3 linked regions of the Lonchura striata genome follow. The main gene of each other region encodes a partner of the protein of the gene in region 2 in a complex. Links are inferred from orthologs where the notes say so. Each region holds a gene or a part of one and is shown on either strand. Other genes may lie near its edges. The genes, in order: CNTN6, PTPRG and contactin-4.

Evidence for each region.
Region 1: the proteins of PTPRG (region 2) and CNTN6 are in contact, whole or in part, in a crystal structure (PDB 5E5U), measured with the Mus musculus proteins. The link is inferred for Lonchura striata from reciprocal best matches to the Homo sapiens genes PTPRG and CNTN6. Residues at the interface, in NP_033007.2 of Mus musculus: Val225, His226, His227, Lys229, Phe288, Thr290, Gln292, Gln293, Asp294, His295, Val296, Lys297, Ser298, Val299, Glu300, Tyr301; in NP_059079.2 of Mus musculus: Arg129, Val132, Arg135, Gln138, Gly139, Val140, Val141, Leu142, Leu143, Cys144, Gly145, Met222, Gly223, Tyr225, Glu226, Pro227, Lys228, Glu230, Leu252, Asn306.
Region 3: the proteins of PTPRG (region 2) and contactin-4 are in contact, whole or in part, in a crystal structure (PDB 3KLD), measured with the Mus musculus proteins. The link is inferred for Lonchura striata from reciprocal best matches to the Homo sapiens genes PTPRG and CNTN4. Residues at the interface, in NP_033007.2 of Mus musculus: Lys222, Val225, His226, His227, Lys229, Phe288, Thr290, Gln293, Asp294, His295, Val296, Lys297, Ser298, Val299, Glu300, Tyr301; in NP_001103219.1 of Mus musculus: Thr128, Arg129, Ser130, Val132, Ser133, Arg135, Gln138, Gly139, Met140, Val141, Leu142, Leu143, Cys144, Gly145, Val219, Met220, Gly221, Glu222, Tyr223, Glu224, Pro225, Lys226, Glu228, Leu250, Asn304.

The regions. Positions count from the first base shown.
Region 1 is NC_134614.1:21,914,167-21,921,591, reverse strand, and holds the start of CNTN6 (contactin-6), read right to left. Parts: upstream 3,012-7,425; 5' UTR 2,508-3,011; intron 1-2,507. UniProt on the Homo sapiens protein: Contactins mediate cell surface interactions during nervous system development. Participates in oligodendrocytes generation by acting as a ligand of NOTCH1.
Region 2 is NC_134614.1:16,766,311-16,773,394, reverse strand, and holds the start of PTPRG (receptor-type tyrosine-protein phosphatase gamma), read right to left. Parts: upstream 3,010-7,084; 5' UTR 2,819-3,009; coding exon 2,734-2,818; intron 1-2,733.
Region 3 is NC_134614.1:22,248,553-22,255,839, reverse strand, and holds the start of contactin-4, read right to left. Parts: upstream 3,034-7,287; 5' UTR 2,929-3,033; intron 2,522-2,928; exon of another isoform or gene 2,421-2,521; intron 1-2,420. UniProt on the Homo sapiens protein: Contactins mediate cell surface interactions during nervous system development. Has some neurite outgrowth-promoting activity. May be involved in synaptogenesis.

The sequences.
Region 1 (7,425 bases), about 5.1 Mb from region 2:
AGCAAGGTATGGAAAAATTCCAGCTTTTCCTCACTGCTTCTCCTCCAGCCTCTGAAACTGAGGAGTTTAAGCCCCCATGAGGGATTTTTGTGCAGAAATGTCTTGCTGGCTCTCTGCTCTGTGCTGACCTGGTGTGTTTAGCACTTTCCTAGCTCCAAGTAGGGTTTCCATACCTCTGATTCTCTCTCTCACACCTGTGTGTGGTTTTTTCCCCCAAACATGGGGAATTTTTAAGTACAGTGCCCGGATCTATTTTTATTTGGGTTGTTCTGTTTTACTGTGATTAGGGAACTTGAAGATGCTTTGTTCCCTTTTCAAGTTCTTTATTTTTTCCTTGCATATTCTGCATTTGCTGAAAACCTTTGTGTAAATAAGAGACTTGTGAAGCCTGGTTGTTTTGGATGAAAATAAGGTCACCCAATCACCTAAATTCTGCTGTGTCTGGGGTTCTTTGTGTGTCCCAGGGATGGTTTTTGCCACACAGGGAGTTGTAGCTGTAAAACTGGGCCTGAATTTCTTTGTGTCTCCATTTCTCCTGGAGACAGACGAAGCTTTGAACTTGCCCAAGCACAGAGTTATGGCCAGCTCTGAGTGCAGCCCTTGGGAAGAAGGAATAAATGATTTTTTGGGCCATATTTGCTGGTTTTCCTCCTCTGCAAGGGCCTCCCCTGCTCCAGAGACAGCGTGAGAGGCTGGGGACAAGCAGGACACCATTAAGATGTTTTTTGTGTCCCTGAGGAAGGTGAGCAGAGGCCAATCTGTGGCAATCTTCTGCAATAAACTCAGTTTTTCACAGAAGGAATACTGCAGTAACACGCAGCTAACACAGTTTTGGGGAGGGAAATAAAAATTTGATGCTGTTTCGTAGAGCTGATCTCTTCCCACGTACTCACAAAATATCTTCTAGTGAAAATTCTCAGTTCAAACACAAATAGTGCTTTGAACCACCCAACTTCATGTTTTAAGGCCCCTTGGGCACACTGGTACCTTGTTCTGTGAGGGAAATACTTGCTCCAATGGCAAGAAATTAATTTTAGGGTAGCTTATTATGCACCACAAACCTTTTTAATAGTGGTCATAAAGCTGGAAGCAAAGGAAAGGAGACATGGCTCCTGCTTGATTTAAAGCACTTAGGTGGTTATGGATTATTTATAATTTTATCCTCAGCATGAAAGGTAAAACTTGTAATCCATGGCCAGCAGTACCTCACCAGCATCTGAAAACCACAGCTGCAAACATTGGGGATTTTTTATTTTTCTTTTTTTACACGATAAAATGTGATCTATGGTTGTTGCTAACTTCATAGAGGTACTGATTTGGGACTTTTTAGTGTCATAAAACCTACGAAGCAGAGACTTGTGGAATGTGAAACACTGACACAGTGCCTCTGGAGCACCACAGGCAAAGCTGGCTGATGGAGATGGGTTATTTGTGGGGATGTGGTGCCTGGAATTGCAAACACTGCAGGGTTTAGTGGCACACAGAAAAAATCTCTGAAGTTTCAGGACTTTGTGTGGAAGTCACAAGTCTCCTGTCTTTGGGGGAGAAAAATAACAGGGGAGGTGGAAATGCTACTTCAGAGGAGTAAATATTTGGATTTTGACTCACAATATTTATCTGCAAAGGGTTGCAGTGCTGGTAAAAGGACAAGTAAGTGTTATTTACAGAGTGTTTGCATCTTGCTTGTTCATTCAGCTCCATAAGTGCTGCAGGAAATTGTCAGCTTGGAGCATCCTGCTCCTGCAAAAGCTGCTGGAGGAGCCCATTTCCACATGCAACAACTGTCTGAATCCAAGGATTCACCCCAAAAGCACCATGGGAATATCTGATTTAACAAAAAGCTCTAGTCAGGCACTTGCTTCTGGAAGCAGACTTTCCAAACTTTTGATAAAGTATCACATCCTTTAAAGCTGTGTCATGCAGTGTAAATAAATAACAATATCCAAACTAACACTCCTGCAGGTCTTTGGGTACCAAAGCTGTGAACTTGCTTTATATTTTCCTCTGATGACTCAAACGAGCAACAGGGAAAAACTTTCTTTTTAGGACTTACCTACATTTTCCTGCAAATTTACGTTTATTGCTTTTCCACCTTCAGCTGGCAGAAATGAGGTTAGGCTCTCATTACCCACTTCAGCTTTTGACGTGCTGCAGAAAGTCGTCTGGAAGTGCCAGAATTAGCACTGTCATGCTCCGTGCTGCCCGTTTCACTGCAGCACGGAGCTGTGATCTCCTCGGTGATGCACCTGTGGTGCCCGTGGCCAGCACAGCCTGGGCTCTGCTTGCCTCAACCCTCACACGCATACAAATTCATCCCACACCTCCTTTTCTGCCCAGACCGCACACGTTTGGAGCATCAGCCATTTACAGCCACGCAGGAGAAATAAAGCAGTGAGTTTTCCCCCTTTCTCTCCCCCTTCTGCAAATGAAAACGAGCGAGGAAGGATAAAATCCCAACAAGCCCAGCATCGTCCACACCGCAGCAGCCAGCGCGGTTCTGTACTCACAGCTCCGAGCAGCGAGGGGTCTCAGGATCTCTACAATTTCCTGCAGGACTGTGGGGAGCTCTCAGGCAGGCAGGCTGTTCAGCCAGGCAGAACGGAGCCGTGTGGAAGGTCTGTGCAGCTGGGAGATAATGGAACTGTTTTCCCAGCTGGGACCACGAGCCTTTTATCCGCTGAGCATTGCGTGTGTCTCTTCCCCGGTATTAAGCGTGAAATGCGCTGCCTTCCCCACGCTGCTCCAAGCCAGAACCTGCACAATTGGCGCCTCAATCAGACAAACAGCTCCTACAGCTTGTGCATATCCCTGTCTGGAAATTCGGGATGTGGAAAAATCAGCCCTGCCCGGCTCATCCTTCAAGAAAGCTGAGCGAGCGAAAGCGCAGCTGTCAGAGCGGAGCATGAAAGATTAAATGTGCTCTTGCTGCTCCTCTCGTACAAATATGAGCTCCTGTCAGGTAATCACAAACCTCTCTCCTCAAAAACTGGGTCACTGCATGGGCTTGGGCTTGGAACAGGAGTGGGAATAGTTTTGTTTGGTCCTGGTCCCCACAGCCGTGTCCTGAGCTCTGGAAGGTTCAGCCCGTGGGGTGGGAGCTGTCCCTTCAATCACATCCCAGCCCTGAGTGACCTCTGCACTCAACTGCCCCTTCGTATGTTGCATATTAAACAAATTTAAGTTAAAAAGGGGAGAGGAGACTTGCTTGTCTAAAGTAGCACAGACATCAATTGTGATTGAACTTCAAACCTTCTTGGATTTCCATTTTCTCTCTTGGGATTCCTTCAGCAGAGAAAAGGCAGGGTCAGGCAGGGGAGTCCCCTTCTCTTAGTGAGAAAAGTAACTTGAATTTCTCTCTGAGTTCCCAAATGGTTTGGGTTGGAAGGGCCTTAAAGCTCATCCAGTGAGCATGGGCAAGGACACCTTCCACCATCCCAGGCTGGCCTTGGACACTCCCATGGATCCAGGGGCAGCCACAGCTGCTCTGGGAATTCCATCCCAGTTCTTCTCCACCATCTCAGCCAGGAATTCCATCTCAATCTCCCATCCATCCCTGCCCTCTGGCAGTGGGAACAATTCCTGTGTCCTGTCCCTCCATCCCCTGTCCCCAGTCCCTCTCCAGCCCACCTGGAATCTTCTCTGATGATGCTGGAAGCACCTCAGCTGTCCTGCTCTGCTCTTGGGGTGGGAAATGGGGACAGCAGCACATGGCATTCCCTGGAATGTGCCCACAGGTGCCCAGCAAGCCCTGCCAGCCCCATTCAGAGCTCTCCTCCTGATTAACATAAACAATTTTGCACTTTTCTTCCTGTGAGCTTCTCAAATGAGCTTTACTGACAATTAATTAAGCCTTGCAGCACCTTCTAAAGGAGATAGGCATTATAATTAGCAGCTCCATTTTTAATTAGGGACAAAATTTAAAATGGAATTTTAGGTATTTCCTCATTAAAAATTTTATTCTAAATAATTACAGGGCTTTTTCTAAGTGGTATCAAGAGTAAATAGACTAAAAGTTGCTTGCAACAGTTTAACCCAAGCTTCTTGTAGCCAATTTAAAAAGTTTATTAAAAATTTAGCCTTTTCTATGTCAAAATAAAATAATTTCCTTATGCCTTTCTTGCTGAACAAGACTGGAAACAGAATTTTTCATTGCTGAGGAAATTAATGCTGCTAAAACTTTCCTATTAAAGATTCTGCCTGTATCTTTGAGAAATGACACAGAAAGTGATGATACATTTGAATATTAAACCAGTCTTTTCCTAGAGGTCAGGATAATGCATTTGCATGTTACCAAAATTTGGTGGCTTTGCCCGGTACCCTGTCAAAACAAAAATTCATCGAGATCAACATTTCTTTGCCAAATATTTTGCTTTTAAAGAATTGTGATATTCTACCAGAAAACAAAAAAACAAAAAACAAACAAACAAACAAAAAAAACCAAAAACAAAAACACTTAAAAAAAACACTAAGAAACAAAACCAAAGGAAATATTGATGATCAAAAAAAATAACAAAAACCAAACCAACAAAAGACTGTCGTGTTTCCAGCTGTCAGAAACCCCTTAAACAAAACTTGTGCATCCTTTAAGGAAGGGCTGCCTCTCTTGGGGTTTTGACAGTGTCAGAGCACAGACAGCTCCTGCAAACTGGGGCAACCTCAGCAGCCTGGCCTGGGCCTCCAGTCACCTCAAAACTTGGCTCTGGAGTGACAAAAGTTTCCCTGCCTCAGGATGAAGTGCACGGTGTCCTTGTGTAGCTTTCAGGACGCTGTTGTAGGCTAAAAATACCTGGGAGATAGGATCTGGTCTATAAAGCAGACAGGAGAGCATCAGGAGCACAGGCTGGGAGACAGGAGGGAATCAGAAGTTGAGCCAAGGTGTCTCTTGCACAAACTCGGGCTGGAAGACACTTTCTGCTCTGTTTGCTCGTGGAAATTGGAGATGCCTTGGGGTGATGCACGCGGGGTTTGTCAGTGTGCCTTCAGGAGCTCTCCCGCTGCCTGTGGCTCCTTCAGACACAGGAGACAAAGCCAGGATGTCTTTATCAACTTTTTAACTGAATTACATCAAGGACTAACATCATCTAAACTCTCCACTGTGCACAAGCATCAGCTTGCTCAAGGGCAAATCCCTGCGACCACAAAGGCAAAATTTAAGACCCAAGATGAGTCTTTTCAAACAAAGGAATATGATCCCATCCCGTGAGGTGTTTTACTCAGTCAGAGCCACCTTCTGCTCTGACATTCTTGCATTAACCCACCTGAATTGCTGTTTGGTGTTGACCCCATGCAGAGGGTTGTGGTTACTCTAAAATCCTAAATCACAGAATTTCAGAATGGTTTGGGTTGGAAGGGACCTAAAGGATCATCTCATTCCAACCTCCTGCCGTGGGGCAGGGACACCTCCACCCATCCCAGGTTGCTCCTCTTTATGAATCCAGGACACTGCTCAAGTAAGAGTGAATTAAGTAATTTTACAGTGCTAATCAGTAAACATTTCCCAAATTATTGGCTTTGTCTCCCCTCAGTCCTGTTAGACATGTTCTAAAGTAAGTTTCAACGTAATTTTTCATGAATGCAACTTTGCAATTGTTTTTCAATACAGAGGTGATGTAATTTCAGATTCATGGAGTTACACCACCTTTGTCTTTTGAATATTCCTTCAAGTCTTGTTAGAGACAGATATTGGAAATCTGAGAGCAAAAATCCATCATAATTCACTTGCATTGTAAGAATTAAAATGTACTAGGAATTAAATTGAGCTGCTGGACAGGCTGGGTAGTTGAACAGCACAGGCACTGGGGAATGATCAGCTCTTGCATAAAAGAGGTCTTGAAGTCCCACCAAAATGGATTATTGCACTCTGAATTCCCCAAAAAGTTTGCTGCTGAAGCAGAGAAACCAAGAAAATGCAACTAAACCAAACCAACCTGAATTCTTGATGACTTCTGGGCAAGTGATCACCACGAGGGAGGGAGGCGGCACAACCACCCCAGCAATGAAGCTCCAGAAAAAGGATCTCTCCTTTTGCATCATTTTCCAAAATACAACCTTCCAGAAAAAGGAAAGGGATTTGCTATGGAAGCAATGTTAACAATTTTCACCCTTTTGTGTAAATAATTTTTATTACTATTATTTTTTTAAAATCCTTATTTTGCTCTCCCCCTGCAACTGCAAAGAGCATCAAGTGCCTTCTGCATGTGTTTTAGCACTGTGATATATATTGAAGAACATTCATACAGAAAAAATAATGTAAATTATAGGAAATACACCTTCATATGCAATAGTTGTTTCTTCTGTAGCTTTTGTAGATTTTATTTTACTTGGGGCACACGCATATGATGGAGACATGACACTGAAAAAAGAGATCTGCAGGTTTGACAGATAAATGTTTAAACAGTTTATTTGCCGAGTGCAAAAAGATACAATTCAAAGTATAAAGTGTATTGGTCTTCTTTCCCACACTAGATCCATCAAAGAATCAGAATTAGGCTACTTTATCCCTTGTTTGTATTCCACGAAGCTCTTTCAGGCTTTGTCTCCATGTGGTTTGTTCAGGGCTCCACTTTAGAGTTATGGACAACCCCAATCAGAGGCTCTGCTTTGATAACAAGGGGATTAATTAGTTCCCAACTCTACAAATAAACCAGAAAACAAACCCTCTGAACTGCTGTCTATGTACCCCCAACTCCAAAGATGATTAAAGAGGGAAAGAAGCAGCTCAGGGATGTTGTTAGTCCTGTGCTAAAGTGCCCCATTGATCTCAGTCTCTGGAATAAATGCCAAGGTTTAGTGGGTGTTAATCCTTGCAAAATGTGCAGCTTATTAATGATCCCCCCAGCAAAGGTGACCTCCTGAGCCTGGAGTGAAGATTTGAGAGGAGCCTGAGTAGTTCCTGTGCTCCCAGCTGCTCTGCTGCCACAGAAAAACAGGTTTGTGATCTGTGTCCTGGTTCTTGGGGTGGGAAATGCTCTGATCAATAGCTGGAGGTTTACCTGTGATGGAACTGGAAGCTCTTTAACACCAGGACAGCCCCGATTGGAAATGACTGGACAAGGAAATTTTAAAAGCATAAGCAAGAAGAAGTAGAAAGGTTTTTGGTGGTTATTTTTGTTACTGCTGGTGGTGTTACTGGTTTGTGTTTTGAAGGGCAATCACTGTTGAACAACTTTTGCTCTCCAGACAATCACTGTGACCTTAGTGAGACTTTCTAATGGCTTTGTGGCTAATCCTGCCATGATCTTCTACTCATAAAATGTGGGGAACTTTCTTATCTCTTTTTTTCTTCAGGGTCTTTGTGTGAGATGTGGTTTTTTGCTTTTATTTTTATACCTGTGTTTCTTTTGCTATTTTTTTTAATTTATTTTTTAAAGGAAAAAAAGCCATCTGAGAAAAACACCAGCTGTGCGTTTCCAGATTTCCAGGTCT
Region 2 (7,084 bases):
AGCTAAAAACTGCACAAATGTGTACTTCTGCCTTTACAAAAAAATACTTACTCTCTCTTGGCAAAGCACCAAGAAATCAGATAGTAAGGATATCACCTTAATGCTACTATTTATGTCTTACTGATTTTTGGTACTGTGAATTTAGATTAATGAGCAAACAGATCCCATGGAAACAACCCCTTACCTTGTCTTGGTTTGATTTATTAACCAATGCAATTACCAGTGACAAGCCCACAGAGAAATGCACTAAACTGTTCAGAAAGAGGAAACCCTTACCCACATATTTTTCTGCCAGACTGACTCCTTTCTCTTACTGCAACCAAAGGAACAGCAACAAAAATACCTACTTAAACAGTGAAGCCCTACTACAACACTAGTAACAAAGAAATACTGCAAAGACTTATTTTCTACATGGTTCATTTATTGTTACTGAACAAAGAAAAGAATAGCCTTTATGTTTTCTCACAAAGTAAAGTGATTCGCAGGGGAGAAAACAAGTAGTGACCTCTCTTCCATTTAAAGGGAGCCAGATATGAAACACAGGGAAGAAGGATGCTTACAAATTAAAACCAAGCTGACAAATACCTTACTTCTTTAATCGTCTCTAGAAAACACTGTGAAAAGATACAGCAGCATTTGTGATAGATAGTAAATGGTTAATAACCGGCCGGGATTCCCTGCCAACACAAATTCCGATGATTTGCCATTGGATGTTGTGGGCACCAAAGTCCTGTTAGAGCCCACAGAGATCCTCGCTGCAGCTCTCCTGCCTCGGGCATCGCTGAGGTGCGGGACCAGAGCGGGACCAGAGCGGGACCAGCGCGGGAGGCGTCCCCGTTTCTCAGGATGTTTCCCTCGCACCCCTCGGCTGCACGCACACCAGGTACTGCTGCTCTTCAGAGGAAAGCTCATGGTAGCTCTGTACAAAAACTAAAGGCATAAAAGCCTTTCTGGAAAATAGTTTGCTTTCCAGGCAAACCTTTAGCAACAAACGGCCCCGAAACATTCCCGAGTATTACACAGCTGTTTTATGGCTTCTGGCATTAAAGAGTTTACCAACACTCTGCAAGCGTCCTACTACCCTCTGCTTGCATCCATCTTCATATTCGAACCATAATGCAAATATTATCTGGTTCAAACATCGCTGATCTAAATCAGCAAGTCATACAATACTGTCATATTAAACCAACATCGGGTTGTTTTCCTGCAGCATTCCTGAAGCCTGCCTTCTAGATGTAATTACTATACAATACATATCAGAACCAGAGAGAAAGGCATCACTCCAAGGGCTGAAATTGAGAAGAAATCAATACAAGGAAGATAAATGTTTCGTCAAAAGCTGCAGAGGTATTAACCCTCTCCCCAACTTAGTTTCTTTTTGCTTCGAATCATTTTGCCATGTGAGAAGCTGCTGGAAGGAATGGGATGCGTCTAGCTGCTTAGCTCTGCATTTGGTGTTAGGAAAAAAAAGGGTATTCCAGAAAGAGGAAAAAAAAAGGACACATAAGTGAAAGTTCCTATAGAACCTCCAGAATTTAATTATTTCATTGGACTCTCGCACAAGAGCCAGGGCAGCCTCGGGAGCTCACGGCAAGGACGGGAGGAGCCGCGGCGGCGGGGGCAGAGGGGCTCGCGCTGCCCCCGGGGCCCCTCGCCGCGCACCCCCCGCCCCATCCCCGCCGGGAGGGCGGCAGCTCCGGGCAAAGCAACCCCCGGGACCGCCCGAGACCCCCGGGACCGCCCGAGACCCCCGGCCCCTCCCGGGACCCGGCCGTGCCCGGGGCGGCCGCGGGAGCGCGCCGGGCGGGGCCCGCGCTGCGCGCCGCCGGAGGGGCGCGCGCCCCGCGGGGGCGCCGGCGGCGCCACAGCGCCCCTGGCGGGCGGCCCGGGCGCTGCGGCGGGAGGCGGCGCAGCCCGAGCCCCGCGAGTTCCCCCGGGCCGGGGCCGCGGCGGGGCCGCGCGTCCCGCGGCGGGGAGCGCCCACCCGGCCCCGTCACACGCCAGCCCCGCGGGTCGAGCCGGGGCGAGAAGCGATACGCAGGCACCGGCCGTGGGGTTCAAAGCGGGGGGAGAACTGTATGGTGGTCGCCGAGTGCCCCCCGCCCGCGGAAGCGCTCTCCCGCGGGTGCGCGGCGGTGGCCGCGCAGCTCTAGCCCCGGTGCGGTGCGGAGGCGCAGCCTCCCGGGACTCCCCCCCGCCCTGCCAAGGTCAGCACGCGGCACGGCGAGACCCCCACCGCGGACACGAGTGGGGTGGGGAGGGCACAGACCCGCGCACCGCGAAGTTTCTGGCGGGGGAACCGGGGGGCTGCGACGCGGAGTCGGAGCGCGGAGTCACGCTGCCTTTCGGGGCGGCGAGCGGCGGTCCCGCAGCACAAAGGGAGCTCCAGGCAGCCCCACGGAAGAACAGCAGCGCGCAAGGACCCCCCCACACACGCGCCCGCCCCACGCCGCCGGGCGCTGCAATGCACCGGAGACCGGGGACAGCGCGCCGGGAGCGCGGAACCGAGCCCGTGCTCCACGCACGGCCCCACTCGCGGGCAGCGCAGCCCGCAGCCGGGAGAGTGCTGTGGAGCGGGAGGACACCCAACGCTGGGGCCGCCCCGGCAAACGGGCCCCCGCGGTCCCTGGCGCATCCTCCGCGCCCGCGGGATGCCCCGCCGGCTCCCTGCGGGGGTCGCGGGCACGTGTGGACGAGGCACCGGGAGCCCCCCTAGCCGCCGCTCTCACTCACCGGGGAAGCACACCACATCATGGAGCACGGAGCTGGTGATTTTCAAGAAAAAGATCCACCAACACGGTTGCAGTAGCCTCCGCATGTCCAAAGCCGCACATCGAAAGGGGAATGGGGCTAAAATAATTAACACACAGGGGGAGGAAAAAAAAAAGGGGGGGGGAGGGAGGGGGCAAAAAAAATAAAAAAAACTTGTTGAAAATAAGTTTCTCCCCGCACCCCTGTTCCTGCGGGAGAAAGCGGGGGGCTCCTGCTCGCCTTCTCTACGAGGAAAAAAAAAAAAAAAATCCCCCAAGCGCGGGGCAGGGGGAGGACAGCGAGGAGCGCCGGCGGGGCGCGGGGACCCCCCCGCGCGGCTCGGCGGGCGCGGGGCGGCGCGGCTCAGGCGGGCAGCAGCGGCGGGGCGCGCATGCCGCGGACGGGGCGCTCACAGCCGCCTCCGCGCACGGGCGGGCGGGCGGCGGTCAGCCGGGGCCCCGGCGCGCTCCATCCTGCCGTACAGGAAGTGGCGGGCGAGCCCGGATCCTGGCGGAGACTTTAAAGCGGGGCGAGGGAGAGAGAGGGAGAGAGAGCGCGGCGCGGCGGCGAGGCGAGGCGAGGAGAGGCGGCGGCGCGCCGGGCGCCCCGGCGGCGCGCCCCCGCCGCCCTTAAAGCGGCCGCGGCGGCGGGGCGGGGGCGCGCTCGGGGACGCGCTCCCGTGCGCGCTCCCGCTCCCGCCCCGCCGGCTGTGTGCGTGTAGTCGCGGAGGACGGCGTGCCGCCGAGCCGCGGAAATTCGCCGCTTGCAATTTCGGGTTCCGCGCTTTCGCCCCGGCGCTGTCTGCTGGAAGTTTCTCGTCTCGCTGTGCCGCCCGCCGGTGCGTGCTGAGAGGGGGCCCTGTCCTTCGTGGTGCCCCCCCGGCTTGTGTGCATCACTCCGGGTGCTGCCAGAGGGGTCCGACCGCCCCTCCCCGCCCCAAAACCACGCAGTTTCCCATCCCCTTCGAATCTCACAGCTCAGGGCTGTGCCGGGTATTTCCAGAAATCCTCATGGAAATCATACAGATTTTGTTCTCCAGTGATATGTATCTTTTTGGGTACTGCAAGCGACACCTCCACCCCCACTACCCCCAGAATCACGTAGATTTTTCCTCCCCCAGTAATACTCATCATTCTGGGTGTCGCTGGAAGCATCCCACAAAATTGCTAATTTTTTTCCCCAATATTGTGCATTATACTACGTATTTCCAGAGAGCTACCTCAAAATGAGAGAATTATTTGATGTTTCTGTAAAGTCAGATGAAGGCTATCCCAAGCCACTCTGCATCTACAACCGCTCCATGCCTCGTCGGCAGTTTCTGAATGGGTGATAATTGTGCACAGGAAACAGAAGCAGAAAATGGTGTGAGTCCAGGATGAAGGGATGGTTGTTTGTACTTGGTATTTCCTGGCTCTGCTGTGGTCTGCTGATGCTTAAATTTCTGGCTCTGTCATTTGCTGTGCTCCTCTTCACTTACCTGCAAACCTTCCACATTTCTGGTGTTTCCAGAGGAGAGGAGATGGTCGGCAGGAGGAGGAACAGAGTAGGAAAATACAGAAGTCATTTGTGGAATGGCAGTGATTTTCTCTCCCTCTTCCTCAGCTTAGGGGTCACTAAAGCAGCGCCATCAGGTAATTAGCACTGTCTGCAAGGGGTTTTGTGTCCATCCAGGTTTACCCCACTCAGCACAAGATGCCAAGGCAGTGGATTATGCTGCATCCAAAGGGCCCCTCATCAGGAGACATTTGGAGCCTTTCCTTTGACTTTCTCCCACATACCAGGTCGTGGCTGCCAAAAATCACATTTGAAGTTAAAGGTGCTGTCCTTATTGGCCAAAACTGCTCGTCCCAGTAGGGATTTTTCAAGTGTAAGGATTTTAGGACCTGATTAGATATTCTCTGCCCTTGAGGACACTACCCATTGGGGTGTGCAAAAATTAGAGAAGGTACTTGTGTATAGATTTGTCTAAAGCAGAACAAAAATTTATAGGCCTTGGAGAAAGGACTCATCCAGCTTGTCCATTAAATCATTTCCCAGAACATGGTTTCAACTCTTATAAAAACAAAGATGCAATTTTAAGAGCTAAATTTTCCTGATGTTTCTTTTTCTATGAAAATCAAAATCAAATCCCTTCCTGCCTTGACCTTTTGGATTCTGCCGTGACATCTGGGCTCGGTTACTTACTGGGCTGTTCAGAAAAAACCTGCAAAATATTCCCCTTTCAGCAACTGATTGCAATTTTGCTGTTCTATTTCAGCAGATAGAGAGGCAGGTTCTACACCAATACTGAGACCTGCCTCTTCAAATGATGTCTCCCTGGCATCATAAGAGGCAATCTTAAGGTGTTTCAATCTAAAAGTGGGCTTCAACAGGTCTCATTACATGAGAAAAGTTATCACACACTATTGCAATATCACAAAAGAAGAGTAAAAGCAGTGGATTTCTTTTCAAAGAGCAGTTTGAATTAGTATTTTTCTAACTAATTCAAAATCCTCTGGAAAAGCTGTTAATTGCACCATTTTATATTTAAACATATTTTTAAATTCGTTTAGGGTTTTCTCTCTTGGACTATGACAAACCTGAAACTGGACCCATATCTTGGAATTGGAGGAATTTTGCATTTTCCATTCTTGGTGCAAACATGAAAGTAAGATATAAAATGCATAATCAGAGTAGTGTCTCCTGAGGAGCACAGATGACTTCAGATCTCTCTAAGCTGCTAAGGAAGATTTTAGAATGGCAGAGCTCCCATCAAAAACCAAAGGTGTTCAGGCTGGATATTCACAGTAGTCGCCTCAGGTCTGAACTTCTTAAAACAAATCTGTAAAAGCCCAATGTCAGCAGGACCAGCTTGGTTCAGCCTGCTGTGGTACAACATGTACAATGACCCACTTTTCCTGGAGTGGGAAATCAATCATTGCATCGTCACACATCACTTTAGGAGCTGTGGTGGCAGAAGTAGCTTTGTTTCGCATTAGCAATTTGGGTGGGCAGAGAAATGGAAAGATGGATGATGGAGATGCAGAGAACAAAATTAAACACGGTTAAATGAGAATCCATTTCCTGCATGCAGTATCTCTGTGCCCGAGGCACGCTGTCTATCAACAATACACAGGTACAAATTGGCCTGCAGACGGATCTTTAACTACCCAAACACAGCAAACTGCATTAGCAGGATGCTGCTCTGCTGGGCTGGGCCGCCTGGCTTCGGAGCAGCCACACCAGAATATAAAAATCTATCACCAGATAGCACAGCTGATTCTTCCCAGTGACTGAAGTACTGTGGCTGGCGTGATTCAAATAGCTGCTACTGTATTGAAGGGATTGAAAGGGGACACATACCCCAGTGCAGCAAAACCAGGCCAGTGGGTGCTCTGCAAATCTTGCAATACTTATGGTTAGCGAAGCAGGTGATGTCAAGGTGAGAGGAATGGGACAAGCAGCCCTGGTTTGCTTGGAACAGTGAATAAAAGATAACTTTTATCCTTCTTTCCCCCTCCTGTTTGAACAAGTAATATTTTTATGCTACCTTCATCAACATACAGGCATGACTCCTGGGAAAGAAATGAAAGTCTGTTAATTTATTTGATCAGACATGAGAAATAATAGAAAACTGAAACAAAGTGTTGTATTTGTCATATGTTTGAATTAGTGAAAAGCTGAAGAAAGCAGAAAAATATTGCAAGGAGTTCAAAGATGAGAGGTTTTATTGAATTAGAAAATTATTAATAGCATTAATCATTTCCAAAACAGGCTTCTTAACATCTATAATGACTATGTAAAGGATTGGAGAAATAAAAATCAAAGAAAAAATTCAGGTAGACAAAGTTACACTTCTTTTTGTGACTAGAAAGAAAAGGATGAATTTTCCTTGATTTACAGCCAGCCTCACTGGAATGGTTAATCTGTGGGGAAAAGACCAGGTGAGGATCTAGCCCTGAAAGGATAATTCAACATGAAGTATGAAGAAGCAGCTACAGTTCAGATTATAAGTAATGTGATGTATAAACTTTCAGATTAATTCAGCAGCCCTAGTTCCTGTTCAGCTTTGCATGGAAAGGAAAAGAAGGATGCTGAGTTTCATAAATTATACTATTGCAGAATTAGTTTCTCATAGCCTCAGGACAGATGCATTCTTCTCAGAGTATGCTGTGAGGCTTTGAAGGTCTTAACAAGGCATCTGAGAACCTGCTGAGAGCCAGAGGTGGAGGGCAAGCAAAGTGCTGTGATAAAAGAGAGGGCTTTACTTCAATATAATCATAGCAATGAGCTGTGCTGTTTGATTGATGAAGATATAAAAATAAATGAACTCAGAGACGCAGGTAAAGCGAAA
Region 3 (7,287 bases), about 5.5 Mb from region 2:
CAGGGAACCACCCCAGGGGCAGACGTGTCCTTGTGGCCCAGGGCAGAGGACACTCACCCCTCCCAGGCACGCCTGCCCTCCTCAGCATCCCGGGTGAGCTCAGGCATCCCTGTTAACCCATGGAGAGCCAGGCTTTGGAGGCTGCAGCGTCTCAGCCCGTTTTCCAGGAGGCTGCCTGCACAGGTGAGCTGCTCCTCTGCTGTCATTCACATTCCCTACACACGTTTTGTCATTGTGCAGAGCAGAACGAGCTTAAAATTCTGGGAGCGCCAGACGGGCTGGGAGAGAGCTCAGCTCCACTGCAAAAGGATGGGAAAATCCTTCCAGTTCCAGAGGTTTGCCAGGATCATTCAACTCCAACTACCTGCAGGCACACCCCGCTCCACTCCCACCACCCAGCACTGTGGGGTTTTGAGGCAGGAGACCCTCAGAGCCTCTAAACACCTCAGTGGTGTTGAGAAACACACCCAGAGTTTGGGGTGGCTTCCCGCGAAGGGAGGCTTCCTAAAATCCCCTAAATTCTTGTCAGAGGGGTTCAGCTGTGCCCAGAGTTCAGCACGGGAGGGAGAGGTTGCTGCTCGCCAGTGGAAGCCATTGTCTCCAGCAGGCTGCCAAGGGGAAATTAGCAGTGTGCACACCTCTAAATGAGGCTGTACAGCAAGGAAAGAGGGATTAGCCCTGTAAACGAAGTCCTTTTGGTATTAGATTAAAGAGGGGAGGTGACTTTGAAGGATTATTCAAGAGCCATTTAAGCAGTTTTCAGGGACTTACAAACGCAGGGTAAAAACGCAGCTCCCTCAGGTCCAGAAAAGAAGCAAAATTCAGTTTCCCAGCCAGAAAAAGCTTCTAGGGGACCCCGTTAAGTGCAGCCCCCCACCATCATCCTGCTCCCCACGCTCGGTGCTGGCTGTGGAGCCCGGCTGCAGCATGACCTGCACACCTGGGCTGGAGCTGCTGCGGGAGCCACAGGGACAGGGAAGGGGCTCCGACAGCCACGGGGATGGGTCACGGCACCCCTGGGCACGCTGCCAGCACGGGGGCACAGCCAGCCACCCACCCACTGCGGGGCAGGGGGTGCTGGATGTCGGAAAGGAGCTCCGGAGCATCGCGACCATCGCAAGAGGAGCTGCCACCAGTCCCCGCTCCCACCTCGGTGGTTTGACCGCTGGGATGCAGGTCCCGAACCGAGCCATGGAAACCGGAGGATGGACGAACACAGCCACAAAAACTGACTTCTGCCTCCAGCCAAACGCCCCCTTCTTCCCCGCACCCCAGGGTGCCTCATCAGCGTGCTGGCTCTTAATCCTCTGCCCACATTATTCATCCAGCCAGGGGAGAGGAATACGTGGCTCCACGACACCAGGCTGCTCTATCGAACGAGCCCTCCTCGGGGAAAAAACCCTTCTTTGGCTTAGCCTAAATTAAGGTGACGGGTAATTAGTATGTAAGATACAAACTATTGCCACTTGTTATGCAAGCAGCATCCTTTAATTTGTAGTTTCGAGCGCAAGCCGTTCCTGTCTGGGATAAATAAAACAACACGCTGCGGTATGTTGCTCACGACACGGGAGCAGCAGCAGCCTGGGGAAAGCAAAAGGAGCTTCAACTCCAGCCGGGAACGCGGCTGGAGCCGGCAAAAAGTTCTGCGAGCGCCTGGAGCAGCCTAGAGGGAGCATCCCTGCGTCCGCGTTCCGGGATGCGCCCGCTCTCACTCGGGGATGCTCCGGGTTCCACTCAGGGATGCTCCGGCTCCCACTCGGGGATGCTCCGGCTCCCACTCAGGGATGCTCCGGCTGAGGGATGCTCCGGCTCCCACTCAGGGATGCTCCGGCTCTCACCCAGGGATGCTCCGGCTCCCACTCAGGGATGCCCCGGCTCCCACTCGGGGATGCTCCGGCTCCCACTCGGGGATGCTCCGGCTCCCACTCAGGGATGCTCCGGCTGAGGGATGCTCCGGCTCCCACTCAGGGATGCTCCGGCTCCCACCCAGGGATGCTCCGGCTGAGGGATGCTCCGGCTCCCACTCGGGGATGCTCGGGCTCCCACTCGGGGATGCTCGGGCTGAGGGATGCTCCGGCTCCCACTCAGGGATGCTCCGGCTCCCACTCAGGGATGCGCCCGCTCTGGGTCCGGTGCTCCGCGGCCACCCCACCCGGGGGGCTCTGCGCGACCCCGCGCACCGCTCCGCGCCCCGCGGCAGCTCCGCGCTCCGAGGGCACCGGGGGGACCCCGGCGGGCACCGCGCTCCCTTCTGCCGGCTCCGCATCCCGCCCGCGCTCTCCTTCCCCCGCGCCGCAGCCTTGCTTAAAAATCCCTTATTTACTCCCCATTTCTCTTTTTTTTTTTTTTTTATTTTTCTTTTTTCCCCCCCGTTTTAAACCTGCCTCCCTCCTCTCCGTGCCGTGCCGAGCCGCGCTTACCTGGGCGGGGAGGGGGGGACATGCCCGGCCCGGCGCGGCTCCGCGGGTGCGGGCGCAGCCCCGAGCGCGGCTCCGCAGCCCCGCGGCCGCAGCATTGAGCGGCAGCGGCGGGAGCCGGGCGGGCTCCGCGCAGACCCCACCCCCGGCCCCGCCGTGCGCGGGGGGCGGGCGGCGGAGCGGCGGCGGCCGCTTTAACCCTTCCTGCCCCGCCGGTGGCCGCCCGGTGCGCCTGGAGCAGCCTGGGGGGAGCATCCCCGCATCCGCCTGCCGGGATGCTCCGGCTCCTACTCGGGGATGCTCCGGATCTCACTCAGGGATGCGCCCGCACTTACTCAGGGATGCTCCTGCTCTCATTCAGGGATGTGCCTGCACTTACTCAGGGATGCTCCTGCTCTCATTCAGGGATGTGCCTGCACTTACTCAGGGATGCTCCGGCTCCCACTCAGGAATGTGCCCGCACTTACTCAGGGATGCTCCGGCTCCCACTCAGGGATGTGCCCGCACTTACTCAGGGATGCTCCGGCTCCCACTCAGGGATGTGCCCGCACTCACTCGGGGATGCGCCCGCTCTGACTCAGGGATGTGGCCGCTCTCATTCAGGGATGCTCCGGCTCCCACTCAGGGATGTGCCCACACTTACTCAGGGATGCTCCTGCTCCCACTCAGGGATGTGCCCGCACTCACTCAGGGATGTGCCCGCACTCACTCAGGGATGTGCCCGCTCTGACACAGGGATGCTCCGGCTCCCACTCAGGGATGTGCCCGCACTCACTCAGGGATGTGTCCGCTCTGACTCAGGGATGCTCCTGCTCTCATTCAGGGATGTGCCCGCACTCACTCAGGGATGTGCCCGCACTCACTCAGGGATGTGTCCGCTCTGACCCAGGGATGCTCCGGCTCCCACTCAGGGATGTGCCCGCACTCACTCAGGGATGTGCCCGCTCTGACCCAGGGATGCTCCGGCTCCCACTCAGGGATGCGGCAGCGCTCGGTGCTCAGCCCCATCCCCTGCCCTGCCCCCGGCTCGCTTTGCTGCAGCCCAGGTGCGGCTCCACCCGCACCCCGGGCAGCTCCGAGCCCGTTCCAGTCGCGCTCGCCGCTTTTCCCCATCCCCGACCAGCCCTGGTCCCCCTAAAGGAGACCACAGAAGTCCAAATTTCCGCTCGCGGCTTTTGTTTATTTATTTACTTCCCCCTAGGCGCGTTACCCTCCGGCTTTAATCCCAGATTTGCCGTAATTATTTCGCTCTTTACAGGGAGCCTCTCCTCACCCGCCTGCTCTGCCAGCCTCTCGCTCAGCCCTCACCGTCTCCTTCCATCCCCTTCCCGCTCCTCCTCGTCCAAGAAATGCGTGTGCAGTGCAGGGAGATGAGGAGCACAGCACACCTGGGTACCAGCCCGGCTGCTCCCAAGCTCTGCTGACCTCCCTGTGCCCAGGGATGCTCCCACACCTTCCTCAGGATCCCTCATCGGGGTCTCTGCTTGCTGCTGCAGTGCAAACGATGAGCCACAAACTGCTTTGAAAGTCATGAGTTCAGGCTTAATAAGCAGCATAATGTGAAGGCGCACAGAAAGGGGGGAAAAAAAATATTCAGAAGTGAATGTGGGACCTACCTTTCCCCCGTCCCAAAATCCTGTCCTGGGAAGCACTCTTAAATGCCTGTGCAAAAAAAAGCCTCGCAGTGCAAAGAGCGTATTCAGTCTTAACTGTGCCTCCCCTGGGTTTTGAGGGATTAAGTGAAACCCTTATTATGTTTAATTATCTCTGGAGTTGCTCTCTGTGCTTGCTGCCTTGCTTTATGGTTTAATAAACTGCATGTCGATAGAAACGGAATGACAATTAACGTTAGTGCAGTTGGGTTGGGGTTTGCTGCTGCTCACAGGTTCCTCCTTGACGTGCCTGCACTCGGGTGATTCCTCACCACCTATCAGAGCCTCTTTGGGCAGCTCAGGAGTGAGGCTGAACCTCACACAAGGGTCAGCTCTGCAGGTCCAAGGGGCTGTGAGCCCTTCGTGGAGCTGTGAGAGCACCTGGAGCACCTCCAGGCTGATGGACCAGCTGTGGCTGGCACAATCCTGAGCAGTCCTTGGGTACCTCTGTTGTCCTGGGAATGCTCAGCTCCTTTGTCATGGAATCATGGTTAGGATGGACCTCCAAGATCATCCAACCTTGGTGATGGAGGATGGCCCTCCACACAGCTCAGTGCTCCTGGAGAGAGCAGGAGGGGCTGGTGCTGCCTTTGCTGGGTCCTACTGAGAGTTTCAGGCTGGGCCCAAGAGCGAATCGAAGTCTAGAGGAGGCAGGAGTGCTGCACTTGAGCCACGCATGGAGGAATCCCCTGGTGGTTTGAAATGCTATATAAATGTTGTGTATTATTTGTGTAATCTCCTCCTGATTTATACAGGAGGGGAGCCTGCTCAGCAATCCAAAATAAAGTTGAGCGCCAAGTGTTTTCAATTTGGGAGCGCCTGTGTCTCCAAGGTCACCTCATCAATCCCGGCGCCGTGGCACGGCGCTGCCAATCTGCGTGGGGTGTAATGGCTCTGGAGGGAAATCAGGCTGGAAACGCTGCCGAATTTGTCAAAGGGAGCATGCATTGAATGCATCACCATCATCATCACAACCCAGCTGAGCGTGCAACGTCCTCGCAGGCAGCGGGGAGAAACATCTCCCACCCTCGGCTGGGTGGCAAGCCAGCAAATGAGAGCTGAAAGGTGAAGGCAGGGCGGCGGTGGGAGCAGACAGATGGCTTCCCTGGAAAGCCTTTTGCTTGTGCCACCTTCCCTGCACACCTTTAACTCACCCTTGAGTGAACAAGCAAACCAGGTCACCGGCTTTTTGATTTTTTTTATCCCCAACAAATCTGCAAATAAGGCCAAAGGTATAAGAGTCAGCAATCAACGCCTCCCGTTGAAAATTCAGACATATTCTCTTGAACAAATAATCTCAAATACTTCATATATCTGGCAAGGAAAAGTGCCTGGCGGGTTTTTAAGCTGGGTTGGAGCAGCAGAGCTGACACTTTGAATCAAGCCTTACAGAGCGACCTTCAGAAACTCTTGCCCCGACGTGACTGACAGCAGGAGCATCACCGGGACATTTAGCACGCCCGTGTTAATTAGGCACAAACAAACCACTCTGAATTGCCGTGGAGGCTGCCACGTGTGTGTTTGGTGTGTGTGTGTGTGCACAGAGCCACGCAGGAGGCAGAGCTGGCCCCAAGTCCTGCCCTGGGACACCATCACGGAGAGTCCCCATGGTGCCTTAAAATTTCAGCTTTTCTATTTTCCATCTATTTGTCACCCTGCGGTTCTTCAGGGTGTAACTCCAAACTCCACACTCAGTGTGAGCTGCTGCTTCCCCATTTGGGGCAGACACAACAATTCCTCTCCAGGCCTGGCAGTCAAGGACCCCTCACTGCCTCAGGCCAGAGAGATGGGAACAAAAGTGAGTTGGGGGAGCAAACCTGGGGTCAGTGACTTCATTACCTGCAGCTGGAATTGGCAGATTCACCCCCAATATCCAAATGGACCAAATTTATAAAAGTGTGAAAACCCTGGGTGTAGCCCCTGGGGCTATCCTAAATGTACCTGAAACCCTTCAATAAATAGAACAACTTTTTATTCCCTTAATTTTGTCTGGCCTCTGTTTTTAGGCAATCCCAAATAGGCTTCCCCCAGGCTGAACCCCATGTGTGCCTGCACAGAGGAGTAAACACAGCCCTGCACAGCCCTGCAGCGCTGCTACAACCAGGAGTAGAGGTGGAGCAGGCACAGGCTGTGATTTATGGCTGCTGAACTCGCAGCCTGAACTTGGCAGAGGCTCCTGTGTTTAGGCTGCAGTTTGTGTAAATCTTAGGAAAGGTTTGGGCACGGTGTTACTGATACAGTAAGAGTTTGGTAAGCAATTCTGCTTTAAATGACTGCTGCAAAACATCCCCAAGGCTTGCACTGGGGTTTTGTCTGACCTTTAATTAAAATACCAAGGCTCTTTTCACTTGGTGATGGCTATTTGTAAAGTCCTCTGAGGTTTTGTCGAAGTCCTGCTTGTATCTCGGTGATATCTCAGGGAGCAATGCAGCTCACAAGGAATTTTGGAGAAATCTGCCCTTTTTTTATCATCACCAGCTTTGCATTGTATGAGTTTCATTTTAGGACAATGCATCAAATTGGTAATTTTGTATGTGATGCAGTAAGAAAAGTGTCATCAGCAAACGGTTGAGAATTATTTGTGGGTGGGATCTGTAAATAATCTTGAGTCCACAGCTTTGTGACACCACAGGTGGGGATTTGTAGGGAAATAAATCCTTTCCACAAGGTTGAAGTGGAAAAGTGGTGCATAAATGGCCCTGAAGGCTGATGTCCTGCTTGGGAGCAGAGAAAAAACTGAAGCAAACCCTTGGTGTTGTGCCAGCATAAATCAGTGACTGTTTCAGAGCTCCACATTCCGTATTTGCTCCTCCCTTTTTGGCCAAATATTCCAGCTAGTGCTAATTTCAACAGGATATTTTGAAAATATGGATATTTAGCACTGACAAATAATTGAGAAGCAAAGATCTAAACTCACAAACTTCACCGTCCAAGCACAAAAAACAGCTTTTAAGGCACAGATTCCTAAAGGTATCTTAATTTCTTTAGTTTAATTCCAAATTCTTCTGGTCTATAAAGTCTCTGGATGACAACAGCAGTTCTGTCTGAATCAAGGAGCGCAGCAAAGGACCTAAACATCATAGCTGGGAAAGTCTTTCATAGTTTAAAAAACTCAGTTTAAGTAGAGACTGAGTCCAGAATCTTTCCATGTTTTTCCTTGGACTTTCTGTACCCAAACTCTTTCTGAACCTTTATAGAATTTCCTTAAGGCTCAAACT